3 linked regions of the Arabidopsis thaliana genome follow. The protein of the gene in region 2 interacts with the protein of the main gene of each other region in a pairwise test. Each region holds a gene or a part of one and is shown on either strand. Other genes may lie near its edges. The genes, in order: CESA4, GH9A1 and CESA6.

Region 1 (7,456 bases), 2.5 Mb from region 2:
TCCACATCACAAACCACGACCAGCGGTTGTAGCAGTGTTGAAACCACAATGTCCGAGAAGAAGAAATACTCGAAACTGGTTCAATGCCATGATGAAAGACCTATATTGGGCGCGTTAACTGCAGAGGAGATAAAGCAGTTCTCAGCTACGAATTCGCCAAGGAAATCGCCAAGTAGAAGCCCTGAATCACCGATAATTGGAACAGTTGGTGGTTACTGGAACAGTCACTCAATGGCAACGAACAAGTACAGTCGAAGTTCTTAGAACTCCAATTCCACAACAGAGAAAGAATTCCACACATGTTTGGTTACTACATTGCCTTTGTGAAATTATTTTTATCACTCTGTTTGTTTGTGTGTGTGTGGTTGATAACAAAATCGTTGTGTTTTGTGTGTGATTTGATTTAGTAATATTCATTCTATTTGTTTGTATTTTACAGAAATTTGTCTACTTTATTTCACAAGTGAATCAAAGTTTTGTATTTTTTTTCCTCCTTACAAATCCATATAATCCAACAAAGAACACCCAAATCGGAAAAATAGGCCAAGCAAAATGGCTCAAAATAGCGGTCCAAAACGAAAATGCGGTTCCTCATTTAACAGTCGACGCCACATTGCTTCAGTAACGGACCAGTCTGTTTCGGCAAGAACGGATCAATCCGAACCCAAACCAAAGAGAAGATCGAAGCGAGAAGGATAGACCAAAGAACAACAATCGTCGGTGTTCGGTTTTGTCTACCCATCAAACCTTTGAGGAAAGGATAAAGATGAACAATGACCCAAAACGCGAAAAACAGTTTCCCAAAAAGCGGTCCCCAAGAACCATATCCATTGTTAATAGCGTCAGAAACTCCGGCAACAACACCGACCATGTTGAGAATAATGAGAGTTGTCGGAGGGATGAGAAGGGTTGTCCATTTAAAGAGGTAAAGATCTCCAAACTCATCGGCTTCGTCACTGGCTCCTTTTGACGTGACGGTGAAGTTAGTGTCAACACCAAAGAGAACTTTAAGAAGACCTTGAAAGACAGCGAAGAGATGAGCTGAGACACCGCCAATCACCCAGAATTGCTCGTTACGCCAGAGGTCATTGATGCTTACACCACTCCACCGGAGTTCTAAGATAGCCGTTGCAATGATTGATAGGAACAGAGCTAAGAACCATATGCTTGCGAAATTGTTGATCTGAATCAAAAGAGAGCAAAAGGGTGTTAATAAAGTATAATCATTTCTAATTGTCAAAAAAAAAAGTATAATCATTTCTTCGATTTTGTGACAAATACATTTAGGGTAACAGTGAATTTTTATATAACTAAGGGGTAAAAGAGTTAAATATTTGGAATTTAGGATATAAACTTTAGGGGTAAGAGTGCAAACTTTTAGGAGTTTAAGGGTTAAAAAAAACTAGCCGTAGGATTGATGGAACTGGTTTCTAAAATATAGTCGCAAAAGAAGTCTCTTATAAACGTTTGGGTAAAATAATTATTTTTTCATGAATTATGGTTAAAGTGTAAAAACCATTAGGAGTTTAAAGTATACATAGATCATGAGCACTTACCGTAGGAATGATGAACTTGCCGGTGAGAAGACAAACGGCCGGAATAGTACAATAGGCAAGTAGAGGAATAGAAGTGAAAGGATAAACAATTGTGTTGATGTAAGCAAGACGTTCTAGAATCTTAAGCTTGCCTCCCCAAGCATACCACAAAGGACAATGACGACTAAAGAAGATTTCGACGGAACCAAGAGCCCATCTAAGAACTTGGTGCAACCGATCAGATAAATTGATCGGAGCTGATCCTTTGAAAGCTGGTCTTTTAGGCATACAGTAAACTGATTTCCAACCTCTACAATGCATTCTAAATCCAGTGAGGATATCTTCTGTTACTGATCCATAAATCCATCCAATCTGAAACACAACAATGAAACATAGTTCAAAAATCAAGAGTCAAGCACTAAAATCCATACTCAAATCAATATTAGTATTAGATAACAGCTTTTTGGTTATCTTTCTAATTTATATTTGCAAAAGAAAAAAAGGATTGATTAAACATATATTGCAAATTGTAAAATCAAAATAACTAGTAAATCAAACTTTTTATTTAGTCAATCTATATATTCTACAAAACAATTATAACTAGTAAAATTCAATTTAGTTGATGAATTCAGTCATTTAAATTCGCGAGTTACGGATAAATATTTAAAAATGTAAACTAAAAATAAAATAAATTTTCGAGTAATATGTGGTTGACAAAGGAAAAAGTTTTTGATTTTATTTTAATCTTTAGAAATTATAATAGAAGTTTATTTTATTTTTGTTTTTTTTAAACTAATGTTTTGAAAATTAGTTTTTATTATTATTTCAAAATATTTTTGTATTACTTGAAAGTTATTTTGTTAATTGTCTTACTCTTAGCAATTCTGCAATATTAGGAATTCCACACTATAAAGTATAAATATGATTATTTACCTCTTTGCCCCATTCAGTCTTCTCTTCATAACCACAGCTAATAACATGAATAGCTTCTTTGATCAACGAGCTCGTGTTCGTCGCCTCCGGCAATCCTCCGTTCTCCATCAACGTCGACGCAATAAACACAGGAGACATTCCAAATCTCTTCTCAAAATTCTTCTGCGACATTAACGAAGATTTCTCAAGCTCATCATATCCTTCAAGCCCTTCCTCAATATCTTCCAAATCAAAAATCGCCTCCGTCGATGATCGTTTTCTACTATAGCTGCTCATCGTTTTATCATCACTCTTCTTCTTAGTCTTCTTCTTTAGTTTCGAGAACAAGCTCTTGATTCCTGATTTCTTCTTTGACGAATCTGATTTGTGATTACGGTTACCTCCGCCGCAACAACAGCAGATCCACGACGGCCAACAATCACATGTCATTTTCTTTCGTTTTTCCGATACCGGAGGTTCGTATCCGTATAATGCTGGTCTATTGAATACACATCCTGTTCCTACATAGACTGGTCCTTGGATTCCATCTAAGCCTCTCATGTTTATCTGTTATAAACAAAAATCAGATTTAAGGGTTTTGAATTTTGAATTCGGGGGTTTTGCTAATGAAGACTTACATCGAAGAAGACGATGTTTCTGTTGGCGTATCGATCGTTAAGATCGATTCCGTCGAATCTTTGTGGGAATTGGACATAACAGAGCTTTTTACCAAGCTGTGGATCCATTAGAAAGCACATTGATTCTCTTATGGCTTTACTGTTGTTGATGTAATGGTCACAGTCGAGATTAAGCATGAATGGAGCATTAGTGAGTACTGCAGAGACTCGAACCTGCGACATCACCCGAAAACAAGTTAGATTTGGTTTCTTAGTGAGCTTTTGACTGTTTGATTTGCTTTGCTTTGCTTACCATTGCATTCATGGCTCCAGCTTTCTTGTGGTGTGCGTAACCAGGACGCTTCTCTCTTGATACATACACGAGACGTGGCAATTCGTTACCATCAATGTCGAATGCTCCTTCTTTGCCGAGATACACCTGAAAAAGTTGAATCAAAGTAGTTGGTTAGATCCAAAGGTGGAACCTTTGATGGTATATCGTAACCGTTGGGATTTGAGGTTTTCGTGGTGACCTGAATCATCCCGGGATGATCACGAGTGTTATTCCCAGGCCATGGTGTACCATCTTGCATAACCCAACCTTCTTCAGGCTTCTTTTGAGCTTTAGCTACTAAAGCATTGATCCTCACTTTGAATTCTTCATATTCTCTCTGCAAAACACTGACAAGTAAGTAAAGAAGATATGTTCTGTGGTTTAAAAGTAAGAGATCTTTCTTCACTGACCTTCATTGCTCTGCGATCTTTGACGAATGTAGTTTGGACTTTATCCTTTAGGTAATCAATCTTCTCTGAGAAGTAAAACTCTGGAGCTCTTGGCTCAACATTGTACTTCTTGCAAAACGGAACCCATCTCCTTGCAAACTCGGAAGTTTCGGACAATGTATCGAACAGGAGCATTGATGCACCGTCATCAGACACATAGCAGCTCACCTTATTCACTGGGTAATCAACGGCTAAGATCGAAAGAATTGTGTTGGCTGTGATTATGGGAGGTTCCTTGAGCGGATCCACTGTACTGACAAACACATCAACCGGTGCAAGCTTGTTCTTTTCCCCATCCCGTTCAAATCTCATAGAGAGACGGTCAAGGTAGGTTTCTCGGTTAATCGGAAACCATTTCGGGAACTGATCAAGGATCCAAGAGAGAGCGAACCAGATCTCGCAGATGACTGAGATAAGCCAGAGAGGGTATGCGTCTTTGGCTGGTGTCAAGATACGGAAACGGAAGAAGAAAACTAAGATCACAAGGCGAAGAACGATCACGATGCGGTAAGGACTGATTTTGCTCGAAGAGATTGGGACTTTTCTCCAGAGAGGTTGTCTTGCTTCAGCATCTCTGTAAACAACAAGAACTCAGTTACTTACGCTTCAAGTCTTTAATACTTGAGATAAAAGGAAAAACAGATTTTTGTTTATTACAGGTATTCTTCTTCATCATCTTCTTTGTCTTCGTTTGTTTGTTCTCCTTTAGTCACTAAACCTCTCTTCTCTTGCCTCGCTTTCCATTTATCTACACGTTCTTTCCACTCCGCATCTGTGTAGCCATCTCTCTCAGCTTCAAAGTCTTTCCCCAACACTTCAAATCAAATCATACAGAAACAGGTCTCAAATTTTGCGTTTGCACATCTATAGGTATTTACATATTTCACACATATTTTCTATTTATACCACTTCCGGTGGAAGAAAAGGCTCGACCATTTGGACGCCATTGCTGCTTACTGTTGTAGTCTCCATTTTCCTGCATTACCGAGAAAATACTCAGAATTTGATCCAAATGGGAAAGAGAGACTATAAAGAAAAAACATGAATCAAAGTCAAATAGTACCGATCCATAGGCAAAATTCTGGTGAATGGAGGAACCATCCTGGCGATATTTGATATTCAACTCATCATCTGAATCATCAGGACCATTGTTTTCTTCATCTCCGGCGATTTTTGGAGAGCCTTCAAGCAAAACAATTCACCAGTATGAGAGTCAAGCTAGATATAGTTTTGAGAGGAAAACAGGGTTTAAGTTAATCTACCTTTGTGGCGTTTGTAAAGAGTGTTGCATTGAGGGCAACATTTGTTACCGTTGCTACGCTCATATTCATAGCAAGGTTTGCAAACCGGGTAAACGCACACGTGACACGCCACAAAAGTCTGACCATTGTCATCGTCTTTGACCTCATCGCCACAGACTTTGCAAATCTTAGCCGAGAATGAGGAATGACGATGCTGCATCCACGAAATGTACATTACGTTGAGATTTTAATGTGAATCCAAATGAAAGAATTTGGTAAAGAACAAAACCTAGGAAACAAGTTTCGGTTTTGTTTTCTCTTACCTCATCGTCGAAGCTGGCCATGGTGTTTGGTTCCATGGCGAGGTACACTGAGCTCTCGGAAGCAGAGCAGAAGGTGGGGTAGAGAAATGTATGTGACTATGTGTTTTGATGATTGAAGAGATAAAGAGGTAATATAAGGGTAAGATGTTTGAATTTGTTGTGAAGAAAACTGAGGTTGTACCAAACTGTGAGTGAAATTGGGTCTAAGGTTTGTGTCATAAGAAAGCTTCAAGAGACAGCAACAAGATTTGGTGGAAGAAGGAGACAGCTCAGTGTAGTTAGTGTTTTTATATAATTTAATTGCTTGAGCTTCCAACTTCTACTGTTTGTTATTCTTTTGAGTTCTTTAGAATTTGTATAACTTAGAGTAGCTTTCAAGTTATTATGTATTTCTACTTTAGTCTTACTTAATATTTTGTATCTTATAAACTTTACCAAATCTGGCTATGTTCTTGAATCCAATCAGGTAGAGAAAGAGAAAGAGGAGATTATATAACAAAAGCCCAAAATCAATTTCACAAAGGCCCAAAATGGTAATACAGAAGGAAAAAAAAACACAAAGATGATCATGGTTCATGCATGGATCATAAGCATTTGAATTGGTTATATAAACCAGAAATGAAAAGAGGGAGAGAGAAAAAAAAGACTCAAGAATCAGAATGAAACTCTGATCTTATTGTTTTGTTAGTAAATAAGATTTAATCAGGCGACATAGTAGATGGAGTTAGGGAGCTTGAAGGTTCTCTTGGGAACTGGACAACCAGAGAAGCTGTTCCATTGTGCACCCATCACTCCCCAAACTCTGTACCCAAGACTTGTAAGCCATGTCCTCAAATCTGCTTTGTATTGGCTCACACTCTTCTTTTCATCATCTTCTCCCCTGCATAGGTTTGATACTTTTGTTATACTTGGCTCATTATGTTATACCAAAATGCTCGAATTATATTGATTGCTCATAGATTTATATGGACCAATGCATGTAACATAATCATAACCCGAGTTCAAACTCGATAAGAACTAGCTAGATATGATAAAGAATTCCACTATTTTGTCCCCAAATTAGACATAAATACCTATTAATGTTTTAAATATGATTTCACAACCAACTCTTTAATTACTATCTTTTCTTTCTTTACTAAACTAAACAAATTAATGACACAACCATAAATGCTGAAAACATCTTAAAGTCTCCAAAACCTTAAATAACTTACCTAAAAGAAACTCAAATAGCTAATGTTTGTTTTAAATAGATAAATTTGGTTTTTAGGGTTTTTATTTCGATTATGGTCTATAGTTCTTTGTGTTTAGAGAATAAATGAAGTCAACAGAACGACAAAATTTATCTGAAGTGTTCTAGTTTTACTTTTTGATTTGGTGAAATTAGAATTTAAATTTCGGTTTAATGCGGTTATTAAATATGATTCGAACCTCAGAAGGAGGTTAGACCAGCTGTGGTAACCGGCTTCAATAAGATTTTCGACGGTGGCAGATCTGAGATACTCTTTACGAGAAGAGATCAAAAAGATCTTGAAACCTCTCTCTCTGATCTCATGGTACAACTTCACCATGTGTGGAACCGCTGGTGCCTTGCCCGAATTTTGCCATTCCTCGAACTTGGTCGTGTTCAGTTGCTCACCACTGTTTCAAATCAATGTAACATGTCAATCCCGGTTTCATTCTAAACCGAATTAAAGCTAACCAGAAAACAAATGAAATGATTAGAGGTAGACATTTAAACCCATCTAAACCAAAATTCAAGCCAATTTTTTTTTATGTGACATAATCATTTTTTTTTGTTCAAATATAATTCGGATCTTTAATATCCATAAATCAAACCAAAAACCGAATCAAGGCTAATGTATATGGTTAAGTTTAGTTTATTTACCCGAAACAACCGTTGCTCTTGTGGTAAGGAATGGTTGAGAGAAGAGTGTCATCAATGTCAAAGATCCAAGCATCCATGCCATCGCATGTCTTCTTCTCGCAACAAGTTTTTCCGAGGTAGAGGATGGCTTCATCGACGGCTCTCTCCACGTCATCTTCGT
Region 2 (5,634 bases):
ATTGTAATGTAGCACTTAGCAGGATGTTCTCAGTGAAGAATAGAAAGGGGAAACTTCGGAAAGCCTGGGATGGAAGTAAGGTTGCTTACAACGTAGCGTCATGGAGCGCAACTGTTATAGGGTATAATATCATCTAGTCATCTTCTACATTGCAAAATCTAATAGTCCCATTGTTTATCGTTCTCACCAAGCATTTTTATTTTGTTCATTTCACCGACAGGATCTATCAAAACCCCGTGATCCTGAGGGTTGCATCAAAGGCCTTTTGGGCGTCATGTCATGTAATATCGAAGCTCGTTTGATTGACGATGACGCCTTCTCGAACACATCTCGCCTGTGTACTGTGATAACAGTTTAATTTGGGTTTCTCCATGATCTCTGTGAATACAACTTCATCATGTATAAAGAATGCCATATGTAATTCCGTTCTTTACTGCAATATTCTTTCTGCATCATCGTTTATATCCATTAAATGAGTAAATGCATGCTAGAATCACGTATTTTAGTAGACTACAGTTGTTATTCCAGGTTGATCTCACACTTGCACAATAAAACATAGTTAAAAGTTTAATACAGTTCATTAAATTGTTTATCAAAGAATACAAGTTTGGTATCAAACATATACAGAGTAAAACGCATAGATATATATGATATCTCACAAGAACAAAACAGCAACCCAAAAAAAGAAAAGAAAGACAATGCTTGTGGTAAAGTAACCCACCCCGTGTTTGTATCTAGTAAAGCCAAATGAAATCCTTAGTAGTTTGGTTATGGCTGACTTGTGTTTAGCTTCTAATCTTCTGGTCTCACACCCAAATCCTTCTTACCTCATTCATTTTTTTTGGCAGCAGCGACAGAATCACACAAGTCTAGCTTTCTCAAGGTTTCCATGGTGCTGGTGGAGGTGGTGGAGTAGGGAACAAAGGAGGAACAGCTGAGAAAATAGTGTTTTTGTCTATCTTACCGGTGGCTTCTTCTTCACCCGATAATGCCACAAGAGCTGCGACTAGACCAGCATTGCCTGCAAGAGTCGGTTCAGTGTAGTTGTAGTTCATACGGACATCACGGTACCCGTCGCGCTTGTCAGGACCAGCAACCATGGCTCCTTCAATCGTGTTTGGGTTTGGTTTCTTGCTGTCTCTCCATTTCCATCCTCCTTTGCAGTTATACTTGACTTTGTTCTTGGGTATCGAAGCTCCTCTGTGATGCACATGTCTTGGGTATTTTGTGCCAAAACCAACGACATAACTCATTTTCCGAGGGTTTTTACCCAGTATATAATCAATCTGCCAAAATACAGCAAGGCCGAGTTAAATCCAATTTAGATGTCAAAATAAAAAATGGAGTTTAAAAAGATCTTCGTACAATCTTGGTTAAAAGTGTCATTTTTGGATCTTATCCATTACTATATCTGAGATTACCATTTCTGTAAAGAGTAAAGGAAAAGAAGCAATACCTGGGATCTAGCAAAGTCACGTAGCACACTTGTCGAATAGAAATTAGGTCCACAGTACCATCCAGGAGTATCAGCAGCATCCAGATAATCACTGTATAGAGTCGCTAAGAAAGCTGCATTTACAGAATATTGCAGCGGCTGTGGAGCTCCATGATTCAACTCTATTAAACCTCCTGCACATACCAAAGATTTCATTTTAGATATCTGAAACAAGAACAAGCCCCACAGTTGGAGTTTTATTAGAGGCAGACATTAAAGCTGGAAGGTAACTAACCATTGGTTCTGTTAAATTTGTTGAAAATAGGCAAGTATGAGCACATGACTATGCTGGTCTGATTGTGGAAGGTCCTTAGAATTTCTTCATATGGATATCCAGGACTCAGAAACAACCTCAACCGGCTCAACAGCAACTAAAATCGCAAAAGGGATTCAAAAGAGTCAAGAGTAGTATGGTTAAGGCAAATGATCAAGAAGACATGAATATCTAAGAAACATAAACACAGCAGGTTGTTATGTGTGGACTGACCTGAGCACCAGCAAGCTTGTTGTCCCAGCTAAATACACCATAGTAAGGGCCACCCCAGAAGGCACCAGCATGCTTGGCCATAGTAGGTTGGGTGATTAGATTGAGATACGTTACATTTCCGGTAGCATAATACATCCAAGCACCACCCCAAATGAACTCATCCCAATACATACTTGAATTATAGAACTTGCTAGATTCCGCAGTGCCTGCACTATATCTCCCTCTCCTCGTCCTTCCAAACTGATACACCACCTTAGCACCATGGACAAGCTTTTTAGAATATTCCTTGTTATCCTTGAATACAATAGATGCTGAAGCCAGAGCAGCTGCCATCTCTGCAGCGAGATCCGAACATCCACCATTACAAGTAGTCACGGGCCTTTTATAGTCCATATCCTCAGGTCGCATCCAACAGTAATGGTCATTAGGATCTGTATTTCCATCATCAGTATTCCCTGATCCAACCTACATTAAACATGTAACGAGTGAACAAACAACTCAATATGAAAGATCTCCTACGAAGGTCATAAACAAGTACCTGTGACACAAGATCATCAATGGAATCAGCAGTACTATTGAAAGTCTTGAGAAAGTAATCAGTTCCCCATTTGATAAGCTCCTTAACATGAGTGAGCTCACCAGCAGCTTCGTATTTAGCACTATATTCAATAACACTCCAGCTCAACATAGTCATAGCATAAGCCATGGGGAAATTGAACTTGATAGCATCACCAGCATCATAATAACCTCCCACCAAATCTTTATAGAAGCTTCCTGTTTCACCTTTCCCATCTTGAAGCCCAGAATTACCTCTCCATGACACGTTATTATGCTTTGGCAATTTCCCAGCTACAACAATCAAAATCAGACTTAGATCTAAAACTCTATATCTAAATTTTATCAGATCTAAGTAGATTCTACACTTACATTTCTGAGCATTGAAGAACTTAAGAGCTTTGTGTAGAGCTATAGTATAATTATCCGGCGGCGGAGTCTTAGGATGATGACGCGGCACAGTTTTAACGATCAAGGTAATGAATCCGGCGAGTAACGCGGCGGCAACAAGAGTACCAACAGTCCAGACGAAGATCTTGCGGCTAACGATAATACAACCGAGATCGACGTACTTCTTCTTCTTCTGCTCCGTTGGACCAAGTAACCAACTCTGCTGCGTCTCATCTAGTGGACGTGAAAGAGCCGCACGATCCAAATCGTTTAAATTCCGACTACGATCATCGTCGGTGGCGGAATCTGCAGTGTTTATCTCCAATGGACCTCCCCATGGATCTCTTCCGTACATGATGATGCTCTCTGATAAAGCAGCAGAGAACAACAACAATGAATCAAAGGTTTGGGATCAGATCTGGAGAAGAGAAGAGAAGAGAGAAAGAAGTAAAAGTGTGTGGAAGTGAAGAAATGTGAAGCTAAAAAGCTCTCTCTAGTCAATAATGTACAAAGACTCTTTGAGAGATCTGGTTTTGGTTTTTTACTCTTTTTTTTTTTTCCTTTTTAAAACTCACTTCAATTATTTTGTTATTATATGTTTTGTTTGGTTTATTTGTACATGTTACGTTACAGCTAACTCTAATTTTGGAATAGTATATTTTTGGCCAACTATGATTGAGCGTTTTGGCCAACTTGTAATCTTGTGTATTTATTTTTCATACAATTAAAATTTGTCGGAGACATTAAAATATTATTTTTTATGCACCGTTTTTTCTAACAAAAAATTGCATATACTTTGTTTACTAGTAAAGCAATGGGCTAATGTCGGGTGGATGGAAAAAGACATCTCCGCTAATAAACTGTCGGTGGGATGATAATTTTATTTTATCCTTTATGATTATGGTGTTTTACACGTCATCATTTCTGGTGGGCTCTAAGTAATGACATAATTTTTAAAAAAAAATTATAACAAGGAAGGTTACTTAAATTCTACTTCTACTTGAAAATGATAGTCTACCACAAAATTTCACTTACATTTGTTAAAATTTAAAACTTATAAGATAAGTGTGTCCGACAAATTGATGGTAGATCAATGACCTAAAAAAAAATTACATCTTGTGGTCATTTTTACGACTCTAATCCCTCACAGAGTAAGTAAGGAGAATTATGAGAATCTAACTTTTAATTTGAAATTAAATACATTCGTAATTATAGAATCTAATCCCTCATATATATATGAATATATCTCTACTTTAAAAAATTCCGAAAATATATGGGCAGCTATGTAATTATAGGACTTATCAGCTTGCATTTAATTAATATTAAATGTCCAATGTAGAAACACCAACAAGTGTAGAACTAGAAACCATAGATGCTCATACATTTGATTTCTACTTTATACATCGAAAACTGAAAGATAAACATACACATATCAACCATAGCTGTTTCCATAGTACATACTGACAGAGATTACCTAAAATATATGCATCAATTTGTCTTCGAATTTCCTTCCATAATGTTCTTTGGCCTTGAAAGCATCGTTAGAGATCGAAACTGTGGCTGTTGAAGTGGAAAAGAGGATGATTCGCCGATCGCCAGATGCTATGTGACCGTATTTCTTTGGCTACGGTCGTCTGAAGAGTCGCTGGACCGCATACTATCACTCCAACATCCACACTCCCCCATTTCCCATTCAATGACTCAAATATCTCTGCAATTACAAAATAAAAATATTACATGAACCAATCAAAGATTTAACTTAACCGAATCGAGCCAAATATCTACACCAAAAGTCGGATTCAAGAACCGAACGAAACCGTGTCAAACCGTTCCGAATGATTTCAGTTTCTATAATTTTATAAATAAAAAAACGAGATAACTGGACTTGACACCGCTAATTTTGTAGTGTATACCTCTAAAGGCCGGTCTGGTGCCATAACGAATAGTGGTGTAATTCTGGACATCTTCTTCTATTGCCAAGCCCTTAAGCTCTGCTGCAGATGGATTATGGGTTTCTTCTCCATTCAAATCTACCTTGTCGTTGCCATTTGCTTCCACTTCACCGGTTTTGTGTTCCCAGCGATGCCAGAAAACAACCACAAGACCTCCAAAAATCAAGACACTTGCAACCATACAACCAACAAATAGAAGTCCCTTGTACCACCACGTTGTTATGTTGTATCTTTTTATGTAAAAGATGTCCAACAATGTGATCATTGAAATAAATCCAATGGTGGATATAATTAGATAGAGTCCAGACCATATGTTATCCCCTGTACCAACTAGTACCGACATAGAACATCCGTTGGTCCGTGGTAGCTTGACAGAAGGATGCACCACCTTGTGAACCATCCCATCTTCCTGTATAACCATGAAACATTAAAGAGTTCAACAAGCTTAGTAAGGCCTATTGCAGCTCCCAAAAGACTTATTTAAGACGTACCAAGCGAGGCTCGGATTGTCGAGTGATATATATGTGAATCTCAAGGTTTAGTTTCTTAGAGAAGAAAGGGCAAATGGAAGGTATGTCAATTGCTGAGAGCAGAGAGAGCTCGTCTGAGTTTTTAATGGCCCATACAACTAAAACCTTACTAGGTAAACAAGCTTTCCCATCTCTTTTACGGTGTAGGATATCGCTTAAGATGGCGAAAAAAGGCGTAATCCCGATTCCTCCTGCTACTAAGACCAGGTTCTCATACCTGCACCC
Region 3 (7,765 bases), 5.7 Mb from region 2:
TAATAAAACTAGAACGATACAAAAATATTAAATTACTTTGCGTAGTGACACTTACAAATGAGAAACAAAAAAGTTTTCAAAATTCTCTAACCAAAAAGACTAACCAATCTGAGTGCTGCCCTCTGCAGATATGATGAAAGCACCATGTCACTTGTCAAAACAGAACCAATAAAAGTGTAAAAGGCTGTGTAGATTCGGGCCTGTATTGGGCCTGTATAATTTGTTTTGGGCCACTCTGATCAAGTTCGTAATTTTCTAAGGTTTGGTAACATTTTTAATGGATGCTTTAAAACGTCTCCAAGCATGCGGATTGAAAATCAAAACCAATCAAACCTCGAGTAAATTAATTTTTCAAACAAGAAATAAGATAGGGAAATTAGTGAAAATAAATCAAAGTTCTTTAATCATAAAAGATTACAGATTGAAAATGCTCTTCTGTAATATTCAAAAGAGATCAGAAATATTCAATTAAAGAATAATTTGACAAATCTTTTTTCTCTCACCACCAAAGAACAAAACAAATAGACAACAACTTTCTTCTTCATCTCTATATCTACAACACATTCTTGCAAAAATAACAATTCTCGTAACAAAATTAAATCTTCTTTTTCTTTTCATTTTTCATCATCTAATGAACACAATGAAGGAGTCTTTTAGAGGTAAAACAATATCTCTCTTACCTCTCTTTGATCCGTGGGAATTAAACCTTTTTCACCAACCCATCCACCGGTCAATCGAATCACAAGCAGTCTAAACCACAGATCTCGAGAATAGGACCGCCTTTCGCCACAAACGGATTAACCCGGACCCAAAGAAGTGTAAGAATCGAGGCCAGGAGGATGGACCAGACGACAATAATGGTTGGCATTCTATCTTGTTTCCCAAGCAAACCTTTAAGGAACGGGTAAAGATGAATGATGACCCAAAGTGCAAAGAACAGTCTTCCGAAAAGCGGTCCCCACGAGTCGTATCCATTGCTGATGGCATCAGAGACTCCGACTATGACTCCAATGACGTTTATGATGAGTAGAGTCATTGGAGGGATGAGAAGTGAAGTCCATTTGAAGAGGTAAAGGTCAGAGAACTCTCCATCATCAGCTGCTTTTGATGTGACTGTGAAGTTAGTGTCGACACCAGCAAGAACCTTGAGGAGACCTTGGAAGAGAGCAAACAGATGCGCAGAAACACCTCCAATGACCCAAAACTGTTCGTTTCTCCACCAATCATCGATCCCAACTTTGCCCCATTGCATCTCGAGAATACCCGTTATTGCAATCGACGAGAAGAGCGCCATGAAGAGGATACTCGCATAGTTGCTAATCTGGAAAAAGAAGGAACAAGAATCGTTTTCCGGTCTTAAAACACACAACTTGGAATAAAGATTCATATGATACTTTTAACCCCCAGTGGCAAGGAAAATGAATAAGCACAAAACGTGAAATAAAGATTCATATTTTGAGAACTCAAGATGATTGTTTTACCTCGGGAACGATGAATTTTCCAGTGAGAAGACAGATGGCAGGGAGAGAACAGTAAACGATGAGCGGTAGAGAGGTCCACGGGTAAACCACAGAGTTAATGTAGGACAACCGCTCAAGCCATTTCAACCCACCTCCATAACCATACCAAATAGGACAATGCCTACTCAAGAAAATCTCAACCGACCCAAGCGCCCATCGAAGAACTTGATGGAGACGATCCGAAAGATTGATTGGAGCTGATCCTTTGAAAGCCGCTAACTTTGGTGTACAATAAACAGATCTCCAACCATGAGAATGCATCTTAAAACCCGTAAGAATATCTTCGGTAACAGAACCATAGATCCACCCAATCTGAGATTTTTTTCACAAGGTCATCATCAAAATCAAGAATTGATTGAATAAACACAACAAAGGTTTAAAACCGGCTGCTTACCTCTTTTCCCCATTCAGTTTTATCTTCATATCCGCAACTAATGACTTGGATGGCTTCTTTAAGCAGACAAGCCGGGCTTGCGTTTCTAGCCATCCCACCATTCTCCATACGCGCAGATGCAACAAATACAGGAGACTGCCCAAATTTCTTCTCCAACTTCATTTGCATTGCCTCGGTTGACTGTTCTACGTTAGAACCTAGAATGTTTTTTAAATTTTATTTTTTTAGTAAAATGCACCGACTAACGAAAGAGTTTAACAACAAACAGGATTTGTATGATACCTTTAGTGACGCGGCCCTCTTCGATATTTTCTAATGCGTGGATCTGCTTTGACGCTTCCCTATTCTTCTTCTTCTTATCCGCAGCCACTGTCTTTGCTTTACGATTCTTTCTTGAACCAAAACATAGGAGACACCATTTTGGCCAGCAATTGCATGTCTTACGTGGGCCCTTCTTCTTCTTCGGTGCATCAAATCCGTAAAGCGCTTGCCTCCTGAAAACACAACCTGTACCGACGTATATAGGCCCTTGTAGCCCATCCAAACCTTTCATATTGATCTGTAAATAAAGATTCATTAGTTGGTATTCTACAGAAATCTCAAGAAAAAGGGATACAATAGGAAAGTGGTGGCTGTACTTACATCAAAGAACACAACATTGCGATTTGAGTATCGATCGTGCCTATCAATCCCATCGAACCTTTGAGGGAACTGAACATAACAGATTTTCTTTCCTGACTGAGGATCCATCATGAAACACATTGCTTCTCTAAGAGCTTTGCTATTGTTGATGTAGTGATCACAATCGACATTCAGAAGGTAAGGAGCATTTGATAGAACCCCAGAGACTCGTATCTTCAACAAAAGTTTTGTAGATGAAATCAAGAGTCAGGAACCATTTCAATAAATGGCAAGACGTAATTTACAAAGAAGAAGGTTTAGAGCTTTAAAAAGTATATCATTTACCAGGGAATTCATAGCTCCAGCCTTCTTATGGTGATCAAATCCGGGTCTCTTCTCACGAGAAACGTAAACTAATCGAGGCAACTCGTTGTTTTCGACATCACGAACACCGTCACTTCCAAGGAAGACCTTTAACAAGAAAACAAAGTATAATTAAATTTTGAAGGACAACACATAAGAAGGCTTTTCAGAAATAAGAAGCATTTGAAACTCACCTGAATCATGCCAGGATGATCTCGCACACTATTACCGGGCCAAGGTGTACCGTCTTGCATAGTCCAACCATCCTCAGGCACTTTCTGTGCTGTTGCTACTAAAGCATTGATCTTTACTTTGAATTCTTCATAATCTCTCTGTCAAAACCAGTAAAACACACAATCTTTCAAATCAATTTTCAAAGCCACCATCTTCTTTCATAAGAGCCCATATAACAAAAGATTGATAACTTTTCTCATGAATTTTTTTTTTCTAAAGCAAGAATCAATTAGACCAAAACTTTTCTCATCAAATCAAATTTATAAAAAAGTAAGAACTAGTAACCTTCATGGCTCGCCGCTCCCTAACAAATGCGGGATGAACTTTATTCTTCAAGTAGTCCATTTTATGGCAGAAATACCATTCGGGAGCACGAGGCTCAATACAATATTTCTTGCAGAAAGGAACCCATTTCCTTGCGAATTCAGCGGTCTCAGAAAGAGCTTCGAAAGTAAGCATAGCAGCACCATCATCAGATACGTAACAAGCAACCTTATCGACAGGATAATCAACAGCAAGAATAGACAAGACAGTATTTGCAGTAATAAGCGGAGGCTCTTTCAATGGATCCACTGTACTAACAAATACATCCACAGGGGATAGTCCCGACGGTTTCCCTTCTTTCTCATATCTGCAAACAAAAAAAATAAGGATTATATCCCCAAAACAAAGTTTTAACATTTCCAAGTGTAATAACCCACAAGATGTAAGTACCTTAATGAGAGTCGGTCCAAGTACGTTTCTCGCTCGATAGGGTACCATTTAGGGAACTGATCAAGAACCCATGAAACAGCAAACCATATCTCACATATAACAGAAATAAGCCACAAAGCATATGCATCTTTGACGGGGTGAAGAATACGGTAGTGAAAGAAGAGACCAAGAATCACAAGACGTAGCACAATTAACATCCGGTAAGGATTTATCTTGCTCGATTTGATTGGTATCTTCCTAGACAATGGCTGCCTTCCCTCATCCATCCTAAAATGGAAAAAAAAGGCTTGATAAATATCACTGCAACGGAACAAGACATCAACAAAAAAAATTATATTCTTTGCCTTACATTGGAAAATCAGCATCATCACCATCTTCAAAATCAGGATCTCCTTCATGCCTAACAACCTGAAGTTTCTCATTCTGCTTTCTCTTCCATTCCTCCATCCGATCTTTCCAAGCGACACTTCCATAACCATAAACCGCAAGATCTTTCTGAGGTACCATAGGCCTTGGATGTGCAGCCACGGTCGGGTCAGAAAGAGAAACAGGATGAACTCTATTGCCATGACCACCAAGTGAAGGAGGAACAATAAGAGCATGTCTATCAGAAGAAATCTCAACGTCCTGTAATAAAACAAAAGAGAAATCTGAGTGAGCCAATTACTGAAGATGGGTTATACAATGTGGATACATTCTGAGATTTTTACCTCGTCGCCGTAAGTCAGCAATGGAATCTGAGAGCCAGGTGGAGCTGAATCCAAATCAGATTGTGGGAAACCGGAGTTGCGACGAGAGATTGACATACCTTCAGAAACCTGATCAAATCCAATCCCATTATTTCCATACTCAAACTCATTGTCTAAATCATCAATGTCATCTTCCTCTTCATCACCTTCAACTCTTGGACTTCCTAACAAACAACAACATAGGCCGAACAAATCAGAAAATCTTCTACATTCACAAAAAACCAAAGAAATTTGGTCTAACAAACAACGAACCTTTAAGACGTTTGAAACGGGTTTTGCACTGTGGACAAGCTTGATTGCCTTCTCGTCTTTCGTACTCATAGCAAGGTCTACACACAGGGAATGCACATTCGTTACATGCCACAAACGGTTCTCCATCAACAGTCAATTCGATCTCATCTCTGCAGATTTGACATGTCTGTCCACTCAGCTCTTGGACTGATCTTATCTGCACAAAACAGTAGAGTTAAATACATCAGATCATAGTAGTGACACTATCAGACTGGATCTCACACCAGATCAAAGTAACCCAATAACATAATTATTACTCTTCACATTGATAGATTCATAATTGCAATTGAAGAAATCTCTTAAATTGGAGAATTAAGACAAGTCAAATCCGGAAAAATCCATCCCACCGACACAATCAATTCTTGATAAAATTAGCTACAAGGGTACGTAATCTTAATACTAGTACTAAAAACCCTAAATCTTAATTGATTTGCAGTGGTAAGAGCCAGATCCACAAGAAAAGTAAAAAAAGTCAGAGACTTTTGAACAGAGATAGAGAAACACAGATCAAAAGACAGAGAATTGGAAACAAAAGAAGAGGAGAAACATACTCGGGCATTCTCATCGGCATTAATGAGGACAAACTCATTCCTGTTGTGAGAACCGGCGATTAACCGACCACCGGTGTTCATATTTGTCTGAAAACAGACACAGCTAACAATCTTGGATTTCACAGATCGATTGAGAAAGAGAGGAATGTGTTGTAATTAACTCAACTCGATTGTCAGAGATCCAGAGACCATAAATCAGAGGATAGATAGCTCTCTTTCTCTCTCTCACACACACACAAAGCGGCAAACCGGAGTCTAAAAAAACAGACTTTGATGGGAAAAATATAATAAAAATACAAAAGGGGGAATAGTGAAGGTGTATTGTATATATGGAGATGGTATTGATTCAGCTGCAAGCCACAACCTTTTCTTTTCTTTTGGTTTTGGGCCTCTCTCTCCTCTCTGAAAGTGCACACAGTCACAGAAATAAAGGATGATTCCAGAGCGAGAGAGAGAGAGAGAGTCAATGGTGGAGAGAGAGAGAGAGACAGACGCAAGCCTGCGAAATGATGATAAAAGGGGGTTAAGTACAAACGCGTAAGGAAGAAGAGAATCAGTGATTAGTTAAATGGTGTGAGATAATTAAAGGCAATTATGTAGATGAGGAAAAAGAGCACCAAAATTAGATAAAATTAGTAATTAAATTTTGAGAAGTAAAAGAATGTGGGACCCATTAAACCTTGTGTGTATCTCTCTCTTCCACTCCACTTGTTGTTGTAAAGAAGAGATTAGTAAAAACTTCCAAACACACATTATTATTAGCCATTAATTATTAACAATACTGTATTATGTGATGCATTGAATCACCCTAACATTTTATTTTGTCTCTAAACTTTAGGTCTTTTGTTTTGTTACAAAAAAAAGTCACCTTTTTTTTTTGGGTGATTTTCTTCACCCTAAAATGTGTTTAATTTGGTTTCGGTTAAATTTTCCTACCATACATGTTTTAAATATATAGTAAAATCAAATCTACTTTGGATGGAGCCTTTTAGATTTAGTTTAGATCATATTTGGTTTATTAAATATATATATTTTAAAGTTAAAAAATGAAAATAATATAAATGAAGTGAAACTCGGTTTGAATTAATAACTACATTTTGAGCCAATTCAGAGTGGTTAGTCAATTTTCTCTATTAATCAATTGATAGCCGAGATTGTATATAATCATTATAATTTTATTTTCGTTTTAATTATTTGTCTGCGTACACTCTCACGTTCTTGCAACATGTGCAAGAAAATAATAGTTGTAATGAAATAGTATTATCTTAATTTAAGATTAAAAAAAAAGTTACACAATCAAGTTCTTAATTCCTCTAATTATTTTGTTAGAGAGACTTCAAAATGTCGAGAAACAGATATGGGCATTTACTTCCCAGACAAAAAACAATCTGTAAGCATCGTGTCCAAGATCCTATTTTCTAGTTTTTTTTTTTGTTCCTTCTAATTTTTTATATACTTTTTTTTTGTTCCTTCTAATTACGTTTAATTTTTTACTTATTAAATTTATTGCTTAAGTTAATTATGTTCTACGCATGGACTGTATCATGGTTTTTGACTGTTGACTGCATTGGTTTTCACTTTTGCTTCCCTCCTTCCTCTCTTATGTTTTTACTTTTCTAGTTTTTTTTGTTCCTTCTAATTACGTTTAATTTTTTACTTATTTAATTTATAGTTTACTTATTTAATTACATTTTTATTAGTTTAATATCTCCATCCTCTGATAATTTTCTTTTTAGTTTTTATAGTTAAATTATTTTTCAACTTTGATCACTCTCTTTTGTTCAATCAGTTCTGTTTATTTTACTATATTTTTTTGTATGTTATGTCTACCATATTTTTAAATAACATGCTTTTTTTTTTTTTAATCTTGGCTCCACTCGCCAAGTCGCCATATAGCTAATTTTTCCTCCGTGCTTAAATAAGAGAAAAATGTTCAAATTATTGAGACTATGGTATCACATCACACAAATATATGCGATTTGCCCATGTATGATGTCTATACTATATGTATACATTTGCCGACAAATAGTTCGTGGTATATATAAAACAATATTTTAACAGTATTTTGCTTGTTGATTTTTTTTAATCTTTTGACTTGTTGATAGATATAGTCCGGAAATTAAAGAAATATTAAGAAACTTTCATAAAAAAAGATCGAACTTTAGTAGGTTACCACATCAAATGTCGTTTTCATGATTGATTGAATGCTGTGTACTGTCTTCTCCAAGCCCTCGTGCCACATGTTCTTATAGAAACTGTCGGTGCCCTTATATTATTCTTTTTCCTAGTAAATATTGTTTTAATTTTCAAGACTATAGAATAGAAAAA

Evidence for each region.
Region 1: the proteins of GH9A1 (region 2) and CESA4 interact in a two-hybrid assay, tested with the Arabidopsis thaliana proteins (one study listed by BioGRID).
Region 3: the proteins of GH9A1 (region 2) and CESA6 interact in a two-hybrid assay, tested with the Arabidopsis thaliana proteins (one study listed by BioGRID).

The regions. Positions count from the first base shown.
Region 1 is NC_003076.8:17,712,704-17,720,159, reverse strand, and holds CESA4 (cellulose synthase A4), read right to left. Parts: upstream 5,771-7,456; 5' UTR 5,448-5,770; coding exon 5,412-5,447; intron 5,303-5,411; coding exon 5,110-5,302; intron 5,030-5,109; coding exon 4,754-5,029; intron 4,662-4,753; coding exon 4,505-4,661; intron 4,474-4,504; exon of another isoform or gene 4,422-4,473; coding exon 3,809-4,421; intron 3,736-3,808; coding exon 3,598-3,735; intron 3,504-3,597; coding exon 3,378-3,503; intron 3,299-3,377; coding exon 3,086-3,298; intron 3,015-3,085; coding exon 2,469-3,014; intron 1,908-2,468; coding exon 1,557-1,907; intron 1,184-1,556; coding exon 596-1,183; downstream 1-595. Other genes in the region: AT5G44040 (eisosome SEG2-like protein), read left to right, coding at 1-264; AT5G44020 (HAD superfamily, subfamily IIIB acid phosphatase), read right to left, coding at 6,114-6,291, 6,840-7,049, 7,297-7,456. UniProt on the Arabidopsis thaliana protein: Catalytic subunit of cellulose synthase terminal complexes ('rosettes'), required for beta-1,4-glucan microfibril crystallization, a major mechanism of the cell wall formation. Involved in the secondary cell wall formation.
Region 2 is NC_003076.8:20,196,887-20,202,520, forward strand, and holds GH9A1 (glycosyl hydrolase 9A1), read right to left. Parts: upstream 3,583-5,634; 5' UTR 3,283-3,582; coding exon 2,910-3,282; intron 2,832-2,909; coding exon 2,521-2,831; intron 2,448-2,520; coding exon 1,983-2,447; intron 1,867-1,982; coding exon 1,731-1,866; intron 1,630-1,730; coding exon 1,457-1,629; intron 1,287-1,456; coding exon 879-1,286; 3' UTR 505-878; downstream 1-504. Other genes in the region: AT5G49710 (RING finger protein), read left to right, coding at 13-121, 221-302; FRO6 (ferric reduction oxidase 6), read right to left, coding at 4,469-4,638, 4,841-5,288, 5,371-5,626. UniProt on the Arabidopsis thaliana protein: Required for cellulose microfibril formation. Involved in cell wall assembly during cell elongation and cell plate maturation in cytokinesis. Required for secondary cell wall formation in the developing xylem.
Region 3 is NC_003076.8:25,879,308-25,887,072, reverse strand, and holds CESA6 (cellulose synthase 6), read right to left. Parts: upstream 6,041-7,765; 5' UTR 5,519-6,040; coding exon 5,438-5,518; intron 5,044-5,437; coding exon 4,848-5,043; intron 4,760-4,847; coding exon 4,557-4,759; intron 4,474-4,556; coding exon 4,196-4,473; intron 4,114-4,195; coding exon 3,847-4,113; intron 3,764-3,846; coding exon 3,418-3,763; intron 3,231-3,417; coding exon 3,093-3,230; intron 3,007-3,092; coding exon 2,881-3,006; intron 2,770-2,880; coding exon 2,557-2,769; intron 2,474-2,556; coding exon 2,197-2,473; intron 2,112-2,196; coding exon 1,915-2,111; intron 1,833-1,914; coding exon 1,482-1,832; intron 1,322-1,481; coding exon 740-1,321; 3' UTR 345-739; downstream 1-344. UniProt on the Arabidopsis thaliana protein: Catalytic subunit of cellulose synthase terminal complexes ('rosettes'), required for beta-1,4-glucan microfibril crystallization, a major mechanism of the cell wall formation. Involved in the primary cell wall formation.